Linked DNA regions of Daphnia pulex. The protein of the gene in region 3 interacts with the protein of the main gene of each other region in a pairwise test. Links are inferred from orthologs where the notes say so. Each region holds a gene or a part of one and is shown on either strand. Other genes may lie near its edges. The genes, in order: peroxisome biogenesis factor 10-like, peroxisomal biogenesis factor 19-like and peroxisome assembly protein 12-like.

Region 1 (3,625 bases), on a different chromosome or scaffold from region 3:
GTCGTTTGAAACGTTCTCATCCGTTTTTTCTTTCTTTTTCCAGGTCAAAATGCTACCGCGTACTGGAATGGTAAAAGGAGACACGAGTCATTATGATGTTTTCTTTTCGACACGATCTCCGTTCCGGCGAAAGTAGATTTATTTCGTTGATTTGCTGCCCATCTTGTTTTAAAAATTTCCCATGAAGTAATGTTTTAGTTGGCCGCTAGGTGTCGAGTGCTGTCAGTTGAAGCCATATTTTAATACAAAATAGTTGTGGACTAGTGCGTACTCGATACCCTGGGTCTGACTGTGTCCTCTTTAGGGAAAAAGCACGTGACAATTCAAGAAAATGCTTCCGACGAACGAGACAGCCTGTTTGTCTAGATGACGATATTACAATCTTCTGATAAATTCAGGTTAGACTTTTTGACTAATCTCTTCTTTGTGTCTCGTAAAATGTCTCCTCTGGTTAAGATCTAAGACGCGATTCCCTTTTAAATCGAACGAATGTGGATTTTTGAATGAAGAAGGCTGGCTCGTCAAAAACATAGCGAGTTTTATTTCAACACATTGTGCAAAACATTTTCACAAAATAGCTGTTTGGACTCTGACATAGATTATTCATAATTCAATAATGGCACAATTCTTGAAGGTTGCACACTTTCTCTGCAAAGAGGACACTCATGCTTGGTTTGCAACCATTGCAAAATACATTGCCAGCAGAACAGGTGGCCACATGGGGTGCAGGCTGTGTTTTTTCTTGAATCCCAACAAAGGGAACATTTCGCTGTTGTCGAGGGTGATGTGCCAGCACATTTTTCACTAGAACTGTCCACCACCTGTGTTTAGCATTTGCTTAGCTTTAATGAGGGTTTCAAAATGGAAAGGAATTTTGTTGAGAAATACTTACCGAAATTGCACTGGAATTGTTTTTGGAACTGCCATTTTTCCATTTGGTAATGGAATTTGTAAGTAAAAGTAGAACAAGGTGTGTAAGGGCCATTTGCCCAATGAACTTGAATGTTGGGTTGTAATTTTCTGTTTTCAAGTAGTCTGTAGCGAATACCTAGAAATAGAATATTGGATTAATTTGCTTGGGTATTTGTAATCTAATGCAGTCTTACGTAATGGATCTTGGCCATTCTCTGAGATAGCCTGTAGTATTTCCCGTACATGTAGAATAAAACCAAGTTGAGTCGCCCCACCCAAAAACTGCTGCTGTGAATCAGCTCTGTCAGCAATAAAATGTAATCTCTGGCTTTGGGTGTTAAATCAGGGATATTTTCTGGATTTCGTAGCCAGGTGTCCAGCTTTTTCATGACTTGACTGAACAGCCGTGGTCCTAATACTTGCAGAGTGATGGCAGTAAGCCTTGTCTAAATAGAAACTTTGTTAATGTCAGGTACTAGTGCTTGTTATATTGTTATTTACCAATTTAGAGGGAAGAGCCCTTAATGTTGGATTGACTTGTATGAGCCCTACATATTCCTCTCCGAGGGTTTGATTGTCCAACAAGGTGGTCAAGGTGTAATATAGGAAGACACAGGTGAGGTCCGATAGCCACTGGACCTTCAGCCATGTCTGATTTCCTGTGTGTACAGCAAGATGGTAAACAATGAGAAGGTCACTGCTAGAAAAAATTTCCACTTAAAAACAGTTGTTTACCGAAAAGACGTTGTACAATGTCAGCCAGTTCGTTCTTGATGGTGTTGATATAAGACTCATCCTTTTGGGAGGCTCGAAGGATCTCGGGTGGATTGGCTTCCACGAACACGGCCATATTTTTTAAGAAAAAAAGAAAACAATCGAAAAAACTTGTCTATACTCTCACGGAGAGCCTGTTGTAAAGGACGGACAAATGGTGGCGACCATCCACTGGTTTAGACGTCCGGGGAATGAATAAATATGGTGATCATTCCAACGAAAGCGAGACTCGAGAGAGTGACCTTTGAAGCTCCCGTGTGTAGATGATGACACAATCGGGTCAAGGCCATTTGTTATTTTCTATGGTAAACCACAACGGCGCAGACCCGGCCCGACGTCGTACGTCGATGTGTTACAAGAAGTGAAAATGTAGGTCTTTCCCATAGACACACACAAACGTTTTTATTGCTTCTGTGTACTCTTATTTTTTAAATAGCAACTTTCTTTCGACTTGGTTTTTGGCCTCGAGCAAGATTATTACGGTTATCAGTATATTATTTTACACGACTTTCTTTTGATTAGCTTCTTTATTTAATTGCGTTGACGGCCACTATGGCGTAAAACTATTTTGACGTGTAGCCGTCGAGAAGTGGCAATGTTGAGCGTTAGATGGCGTGCGAGTAGCTGTCGACTGCTTGTAAAATACACAGAGAGGGTGGTGTTGGGGGGGAAGGAAGAAGCCCCTGTGGACAACTAGGAGGAAATAGACTAGAGGAGCTCAACTACTACTACAGAGGCGTTAGCAATGGCTGCCCTCAGTGTGTAAAGTGCCCTCGCGCGTTGCAGAAACAGGCCGGAGGAGTTCATCTCCGGTAGTTTTTTTAGTTGTTCAGTGTAGGAATCAGTCAGTCGAGCTGTAATCATTAAAAAAATTAATCTTTAAACAAGCAGAGAGTTTTGATCAGCAGTTTTAATTCATTAATATATATTATCCATCCCCTCTACTTTTGAGATTTTTTCAAAAAAATCATTCACCCCAAGCGAAAAAGTGTGTGTGTTTGAGTGAGTGTGTGCGAGTGTGTATACAAGTCAATCCCCCCACACATATATTTCTCTCTTCTTCTTCTCCAAAAACTCGCCGTCGTCGTCGTTCTTCTTCTTTTTACACACACACACACACACCAAATAACAAAACAATCCCCTTCGACTTCCGTTTTGCTTTGGCTGCTCTTCTTGTCCTAATCGAAACTGTAGAAGAAGTGAACTCGTCTCTCCACTTCTTCATTCAATTTCCTTCTCTTGATTTTTCTTCCTCCCGGCGTCTCCCCTATCTCTCTCTCTCGGCTGTAATCCAAGACACACACACACAGACAGACAAGTCAGAAGAGAGAAAATTTTAATAATTCCGACTGGAACATTTTCAACCTTCCAAAAAACTCCCGAGGTATTGATTCTCTTTTTTGGAAAAAATATTTTAGACTCGCCTAAAAAATATGTAGGGTTCTAGACCCACTATTTTTGTGTAATCTGATTATAAATGTATCATTGTGGAATGTCGATCGATCGACTTTTTATCTTTTTTTCCCCCCTTAAAAAACTTAACTTTTTTTATTTTCTGTTTGTTGCAGTCATCCGAGCCCTTGTGTAACTTTTTGGGAACCCGGGCACAGGTGCCGTGGATAGGAATCTAATCAATTAATCAACCAACGTGGCGAGGCTATTTCGGCTGGAATCAAATAGAAAAAAGTTTTATTTTTGACAAGTGAGTTTTTGTTTCATTAACTAAGCGATTGACAAAATTTTTAATTTTCTTATTCTCTTGATTTTTAAGGTTTCCAAAGTTTGTGAAAGAAGATGGACAACATGGATGCTCACTCGCAGTCGCAGCATGGCGACAACACCACCGAAGTACCCAACGATCCTGGGTAAGAGAACAAAACATTTCTTTTTGATTCATTTCCCTGATATTATAGCGCCTGTATAATAATTATTATCATCA
Region 2 (3,559 bases), on a different chromosome or scaffold from region 3:
TTAAAGTTGTTACTCCAGCAAAAAGGATTCCCCTTGAAACATTTTCCTCGCGTTCGTTCTCGATTGCTAACTCAGGAAACCGAACAGGTATTTAAAAAATATAGTATATGTATGCTTTAATGATCAAGGTGATTTTAACTTGAATTAACTTGTCCGTTTCACAGGCAGCAATGGCCAGGTACAACTCTGGCAGTTTCTCCTTGAGCTGTTGACCGATGTGAATTTCCGGGATGCTATTTCTTGGCTTGGGACAGGAGGAGAATTCAAATTAAATAACCCCGAAATGGTGGCTCAACTATGGGGAGAAAGGAAAAACAAACCACACATGAACTATGAGAAACTCAGTCGAGCCCTGAGGTATTATTATGATGGCGATATGATTTGCAAAGTAAGCGGTAAACGATTTGTGTATAAATTTGTTTGTGACCTCAAACAACTGTTGGGCTATTCGGCTGATGAACTTAATAAGCTTGTAACAGAGTGTGAGCAACGATCCAAAATGAGACGGGCAAGTTCGTCATACGTGTAAATACAAAACGTATTTGTTTAAATCATTGAGAATTGACGCCATTAATGATAAAATTAAGTTGTAATGCCGTTCAAACAATTTTTTTTAACGACCTTCTAATACCTTTTATAGCCCAATTTCAATAACAAAAACATGTTTTATAACATACTATATTAATTACATAACAACACAATTTTCGGCACCAGGTCCCATCGATTGAGCAAAATCCGCGCCACCGAAGGGATTCGGTAGCAGTTCAGCTTCACCAGCCAGTTCCTTGAAATTAAGATTTTTCATTAAATGAAAATCAATCAAATTATTCGTAGTCGCACTCACTTTAGGGGGATGGCCACATTCTTGCATTTGTTGCATCAAAGTTAATATCTTTTCAAAGCGACTATTTTTCGTCGCTGCATCATCAGTGTCGTTATCATTTTCGAATTCGGTACACACTTGCTGCATAACGGCGTATTGGCGGTTGTATTTTTCAAATTGCGCAGGTTCTAATTTCGGCCGATTGTCTGCGAGCCAATCTGGGTACTAAGGAGATAACAATAAGTTATGAGAGACAAGATTGACTATCATCAGTTCTCAAGTGAATGCTTACCTTGCTAACAATCTCTTTGATAGATGGATAAAGCAACTCCTTTGATAACAAACTTTGAAGCATTCCTTGCATTGCAGGTAAAATGTCACCCAAACCTCCCATATCTCCACCAGCACCATCTCCAAATCCCCCATCTGGTCCAAATGCCATTTTTTCAAGCATTTTGGCTAATGTAGCTTCATCAGCTTCAGTCTATGGAAAAAATAAGGACATGTTAAAGTAAAAATAAAAAAGTTTGGTTTATCCTACCCACAAAAATTTACCTGAAGTGATTCTGTTCCTTCTGCTAAATAGCGTAGAGTATCAGCAAAGGATGCTCCCTGGTCTGGTTGTCTTTCAAATACTTTAGCTGCAGCTTCTTGTGATACCTTTAACAAACTTTCAGCAAATCCAGAATCACCACTGGCCCCTGGTGCTGTTTCTGCCATCATCAAACGAATATTTTTCTCAAATTCCAAACTCGCTTCTTGAATAAACTCCTCAGACCACACAACATCTGATACTTGATCTGTAGGTGCTGCTGCTTCGGCTTTAACATTGTCTTTTGTTTTGGGCACTTGCAGTGGCTTGTCAAATCCTTCCAGGGCATCTGTTACATTTAATGAATGTTTTATTCCTTTGTTGGCAAATAACTAGTTAGTTTAAACTACATACCGTCAAGTAAAGCGTCTAGTTCTTCGTCATCTCCTTTAGATTCTTCTTTAATATCTGCCGTATCTTGTACAGACTTTGGATCATTAGAACCGGTTCCACTCATACTGAAATGTATCTATTTACAGCAAAGTACAGAATTGTATAAGTAGAAATAGATTTCGATATCAATAATATCGACACAGGCTTCAAAACTTGCTCATCCGGAAATTTCGACAAGGAAAAGAGTGCAAGACCAGACAAGACGACGAAATACTACCTCATAAATAAAACGCGATGTTGCCGAAATCATTCGGTATTTAGTGATGGTTCGTGCGTGCGTGAATGAAGCAGATGCGCTTCATCATGATTCATGAATGCTTGTTTATTAAAATTATATTTGGCGTGAAAAATGAATTAAAACAAATCACTTTTTTTTTAGGTTTTGAATTTTGCGTCTTTATTGGGAGAGTAAAATGTATTTTTTGTTCTGAATAACAGAAGCGACTGCTCATTCATAAATATTTTCTAAACCTAACAGTAATATTTCGTAACATAGTCAAAATCAAAGATTTCCATTAGGGCGGTTGCTTTAAGCTTAGTCTTGCTTTAACAAATGAAAACAGAACATCGAACATGTCGTTATATCCCGTTGTTACCAGTCGAGCAGTCGTTACCATCCCGCCTTTGCTTCAAAGTTCAAATCAATTTCACTTACCTGCCAGACCCAAATTAAAAGCTATGAAAGAAGGAATTTTGAAAAAGTACGTTCAGTTGGTAAAGGTAATATGTCTTCCGACAAAATGACAGTAAAAATTGTGATATTCTATAACGTACACGGTGGTCTGCCTTGCCGCAATAGTGCTTGTCCATTGCTGATACCAAAATCAATACATGAGTAGTAGTTTTCACTGATCCTCCAATATCTTGCTTCGTTTTATTCTTCCTCTTCTCTTCTTCACGAATTGCTGTACTACCGATTCTGGAATGACACATCGCGAATGTTCACCAAATCAAGAAAATTCACCATCTAGCCTACCTGGTATGATTTCGAGATGGTGGAGTCATTTTTTTTTTTAAGGCAAACTTCAATTGCTTAAAAAAATAATTGACACATAATGTGTTGAATGCTGATAAAATGGAAATTCAAGTATGAATCAAAATGAGTGAACTTAAAAAAATGCAAGTAATGCATCTGTATTTCATTCATTAAAAATGTAAACATTCAACATGACCTGCACCAACCCAATTTCACCCCTGATACTAGTTAATAAAAAAATTTTGGTTTTAAACACGCGATCCATATTCTAACAGAGTTTTAAATCATTTTAGATAACAGCTTATAGCTGTAACGGATTAATAACCTTTATGTGATAAAGTTACAGGACGAACATTTAGGCTGCAATTTCTATTGGTAATGAATTCGGCTGAAGTTCGTTTGGGGGACATTTTTACTCTTTAAAAAAGACACAGTTTAACCACTGTTAAACGAGAACAAATGATCATAGCCAAATGATTCGTAGCACCTCCTAAGTACTAATAAGACCGGGGAAAACTGTATGGGTGCTCAGTATTTGCATGTAAGGAGAAACGATACACAAAAAGGAGAAAAGCACTGGAAGAGCACTTCAAGTTTAACGTGGAATTAAAAATAAAAATTTTCGATATGGGGAACAAATTGCTTTGATTGCTTTCGAGTTTCGGATCACCCTCTTAAAGCTCCATTCCTAAAGGGCATAACATTGAATGAAAGACTCTTTACTGTTCTCTAAACCATAATAATGAACTTAATGGACATTGCCGGTGGTTTCAAA
Region 3 (3,193 bases):
GATCCCACTCTTGCTTTCCTCTTATTATCCAATCGTGAATCGTGTAATGTAGTCAGCGAGTGGGGATCCATGGCGACCGTCTCCTGCACTCTTGTTCCAGTCCTCACTCCCTCCTCGTCTCCCTCCTCCCTCCCACCTTATACTTTTTATATGAAAGGAAACTTGCGCTTTCCACTCGATTGTTTCGGTTTGGCCGTCTTTAAAATTTACTCCGCGTTTCATGAAAAAGCTCGATGAAAACAAAAATACGGTGAACATTCCACATCCCGATGGTCATCATCTCGTACTTTGAGAGTGAATAAATTAATAAAACCGCGACCTCACCTTTAAAAAAACAAAATTAAAAAAGCATACATTTATGGAATAGTGAAAGAAGGGAAAAAGGACATAGCAAGAGACGTCGTATTATGTATTTATTTATTTTTATTATTACCTTTTTTCCGTTTGTGTTATGTCCTCGAGGTCTCAAAAGACGCCCAGCTATCCGTCGGTTACATTTGTTTGAGTATTGTTTCATTTGCTTGTGTTTGAGTAAAATGTGAGAAACGCTTCCCCATATATTTAAAAGATTTCGATGGAGATACCAGTCTAATAAATGATGCGATGGAATTCGTTCGTACTTATTTAATTATGTTTCTAGATGTATTTCAATCTTGTATTTATATGTATCTGTTTGAAAGTAAGTTAACATCAATATTGTGCAATTTGTTCCACAGGATCGAAATCTGCAAATCTTTGGGACGTTGTTTACTCGGCGTTGGCAAATATACGTATCAGGTCATTTGGGGATGCTGGAAGCTTGGAGATGGGGCATTTGTTATTCTCTTTTAGGTAGGGCAAAATACAGCGATAGCAGTAAACATAACTGTGAAAAAAATGGTGAGATATAATTACAGTTCGAAGTATTTCTTAATGATTTAAGTTACCCTGATACGCGAAGAACGCACTCATTTTTCCATTGCTGTTGACAAAGGGGACAAACACCAGTCCTTGGTTTGGAGTGTTGATTCTGTACAATGGAATGTGGAGGAGGTGGAATGGGTAAGGAAAGCATACTCTTAGCCTGTGATGACTGATTAGTAAACCACCACTCAAGAAATTGGATGAAGAAGGCACTCAGTTCAATTATTTTAGTGAGTGAAATGCCAGGGCTACTGTTGTCACCACCATGTTTTAACTTCAATCCAAGAAGGTGCAAAATAGGTGAATGGGTCACAGATTTGCCCCATGTATAGAGCATCCAGTTCACTAAGACTGTCAAATCATAGATGAACCGGATACTCGAAAAGTTGAGAACAGGATGTTGCTGGTTGTGCTGCTGCCTTTCTGAAAAGTAGGCATCTAATTTGGACAAGGCATATGGCAGAATTGTCAAACTGATTAGAGAGTGAAGTGTTCCTTTCCCATTCAAAGTGCAGTCTTCTTTTGTGACTCGTTCTAATCCATAAAAATTTTCAGCAAATGAAGCTCCTGAAAAAAAAAGCACAACATTTCTGTAAATCACAAAGACGTATTTCAAAAATGTAAATAAGTTGAAGAAAAATTATCAACAAACCATAGTTTCGTAGGTAATAGTTTTGCAGAAAACAATCAAATAGTAACTGAATTTCATTTGCCCAGCGAAATGATAAACCAAATGTTTCTGGATAATGATTAGCACACACCTACAATTGATATAGAGTTGGTAGTTCTTTTATTTCAATTGAATGTGTTACAAACGTACCCTGAAGACGAACTTTATGGTCCCACGAAGGGCTTGATTAAGTCCTTCCTGAGCAACTAACTCAAAAATCGATGGCCTACTAGAATCTAGAAGTAACTGACTTAAATGCGCCCCTCTTTCAGCCATAACGTAAGTACTCAAATTTAAAAACCTTGCTTATTCAAAAGAAAACGGCATAATGTTGTTTTTATTACATGAATTTGTCTTGCTTTTTTTGTGTCAAACAAAAATACAGCACTGTTTAAGGGCGTCCCTAAACTGCGAAAGCGAAACGCGAAACGCGAAACGCCTAAAATGCGAAACAGCTGTGCGAAACGGACCAAAATTTTGGGACCCTGTTTCGCATTTTAGTCTTTGGGTCCGTACTAAACTGCGAAATCGGTGTGTGCGAAACGTCGCAGTGTAAACGTCTTGGTAGCAGACGACAATGGACGCCGTCAACAAACAATTTGTTAAGAGTTTCAAATTTTCGAGACTTCGAGTTTCGCGCACCTTATGGCTGGTCCGCTGGTCTATTTGTGTGTTGACCATGAATACGAAATACCTTGAATGCAATATGCAATAGGTGTTTTTAATTAGAAGATTGGTATAAAAAAAATTAATGGAACTTCTCGTTTCCATGTATCAGTATCAATCAGATTAACATTCTTAATTTTAAGGAAAGTTTTAGCTGATTGAATTTTAGCTTGATTTGGAACATGGTAGCTTTGATTTTTAGCTTGATATAAGGCACTCATACTGTTATGGCCGATTCTTTCTTTGTGCACGTACCTACTGGTTGATTTAAATTATTTAATGTAATGTATAATCCCTGGGCCATTACCTAATATTTTATTATTTAAAAATATCACCATAACGTGCTGCTCTATGTCTTTCATTAGTTTAATAATCGTAAAATGCGCATGAAAACATACAGGGGTAGTGGCGAAGAAATCGAATTTGATTGCCCCCCTTCCTCCTTTAATGCCTCATCATAGCGGGAGACAATGAAAAATGGCGGCAATCTCCGTCAATTTGGACCTCTGTGATGAAAAGGAAAACTTTTTGTTTCGCAAGATGTTTCGCTCTTTAGTATGCCCTCCGGCATTTGGTCCCGCGAAACGGTCCCAAAATTTTGGTCCGTTTCGCACAGCTTTTCCGCATTTTAGGCGTTTCGCGTTTCGCGTTTCGCTTTCGCAGTTTAGGGACGCCCCTGTTTAACGTTATTGTTTTAGGTTTCTTTCCCAAGATGGCGTTCAGTTAATCAAGATATTCCGGGCCTAGATGTCGTTGGCGTCGGGCTGTGGGACGAACCAACCCATGTCTGACTGCACAAGTGCAATATATCACACAAGGCGTGCACCACTTTTCCTCTCGCGGCTTCCCTATTACGCTAGTGTCGTCTGGTGGGGAACGGCGACAACTCGTTTTCTGTCAACACCATTCTGGTAGGCAAAATGTCAGGCAAACCAATCGTAAAAAAGAAAAAAC

The links.
Region 1: the proteins of peroxisome assembly protein 12-like (region 3) and peroxisome biogenesis factor 10-like interact in a two-hybrid assay, tested with the Homo sapiens proteins (4 studies listed by BioGRID, with this or other methods). The link is inferred for Daphnia pulex from reciprocal best matches to the Homo sapiens genes PEX12 and PEX10.
Region 2: the proteins of peroxisome assembly protein 12-like (region 3) and peroxisomal biogenesis factor 19-like interact in a two-hybrid assay, tested with the Homo sapiens proteins (4 studies listed by BioGRID and IntAct, with this or other methods). The link is inferred for Daphnia pulex from reciprocal best matches to the Homo sapiens genes PEX12 and PEX19.

What each region holds. Positions count from the first base shown.
Region 1 is NC_060026.1:15,822,257-15,825,881, reverse strand, and holds peroxisome biogenesis factor 10-like, read right to left. Parts: upstream 2,252-3,625; 5' UTR 1,763-2,251; coding exon 1,648-1,762; intron 1,572-1,647; coding exon 1,414-1,571; intron 1,359-1,413; coding exon 1,107-1,358; intron 1,049-1,106; coding exon 893-1,048; intron 822-892; coding exon 600-821; 3' UTR 519-599; downstream 1-518.
Region 2 is NC_060022.1:6,085,013-6,088,571, reverse strand, and holds peroxisomal biogenesis factor 19-like, read right to left. Parts: upstream 2,030-3,559; 5' UTR 1,873-2,029; coding exon 1,770-1,872; intron 1,705-1,769; coding exon 1,379-1,704; intron 1,308-1,378; coding exon 1,116-1,307; intron 1,049-1,115; coding exon 845-1,048; intron 785-844; coding exon 686-784; 3' UTR 571-685; downstream 1-570. Other genes in the region: DNA-binding protein Ets97D-like, read left to right, coding at 1-87, 165-529. UniProt on the Homo sapiens protein: Necessary for early peroxisomal biogenesis. Acts both as a cytosolic chaperone and as an import receptor for peroxisomal membrane proteins (PMPs).
Region 3 is NC_060025.1:2,868,995-2,872,187, forward strand, and holds peroxisome assembly protein 12-like, read right to left. Parts: upstream 2,006-3,193; 5' UTR 1,850-2,005; coding exon 1,724-1,849; intron 1,665-1,723; coding exon 1,556-1,664; intron 1,471-1,555; coding exon 927-1,470; intron 866-926; coding exon 748-865; 3' UTR 642-747; downstream 1-641. UniProt on the Homo sapiens protein: Component of a retrotranslocation channel required for peroxisome organization by mediating export of the PEX5 receptor from peroxisomes to the cytosol, thereby promoting PEX5 recycling.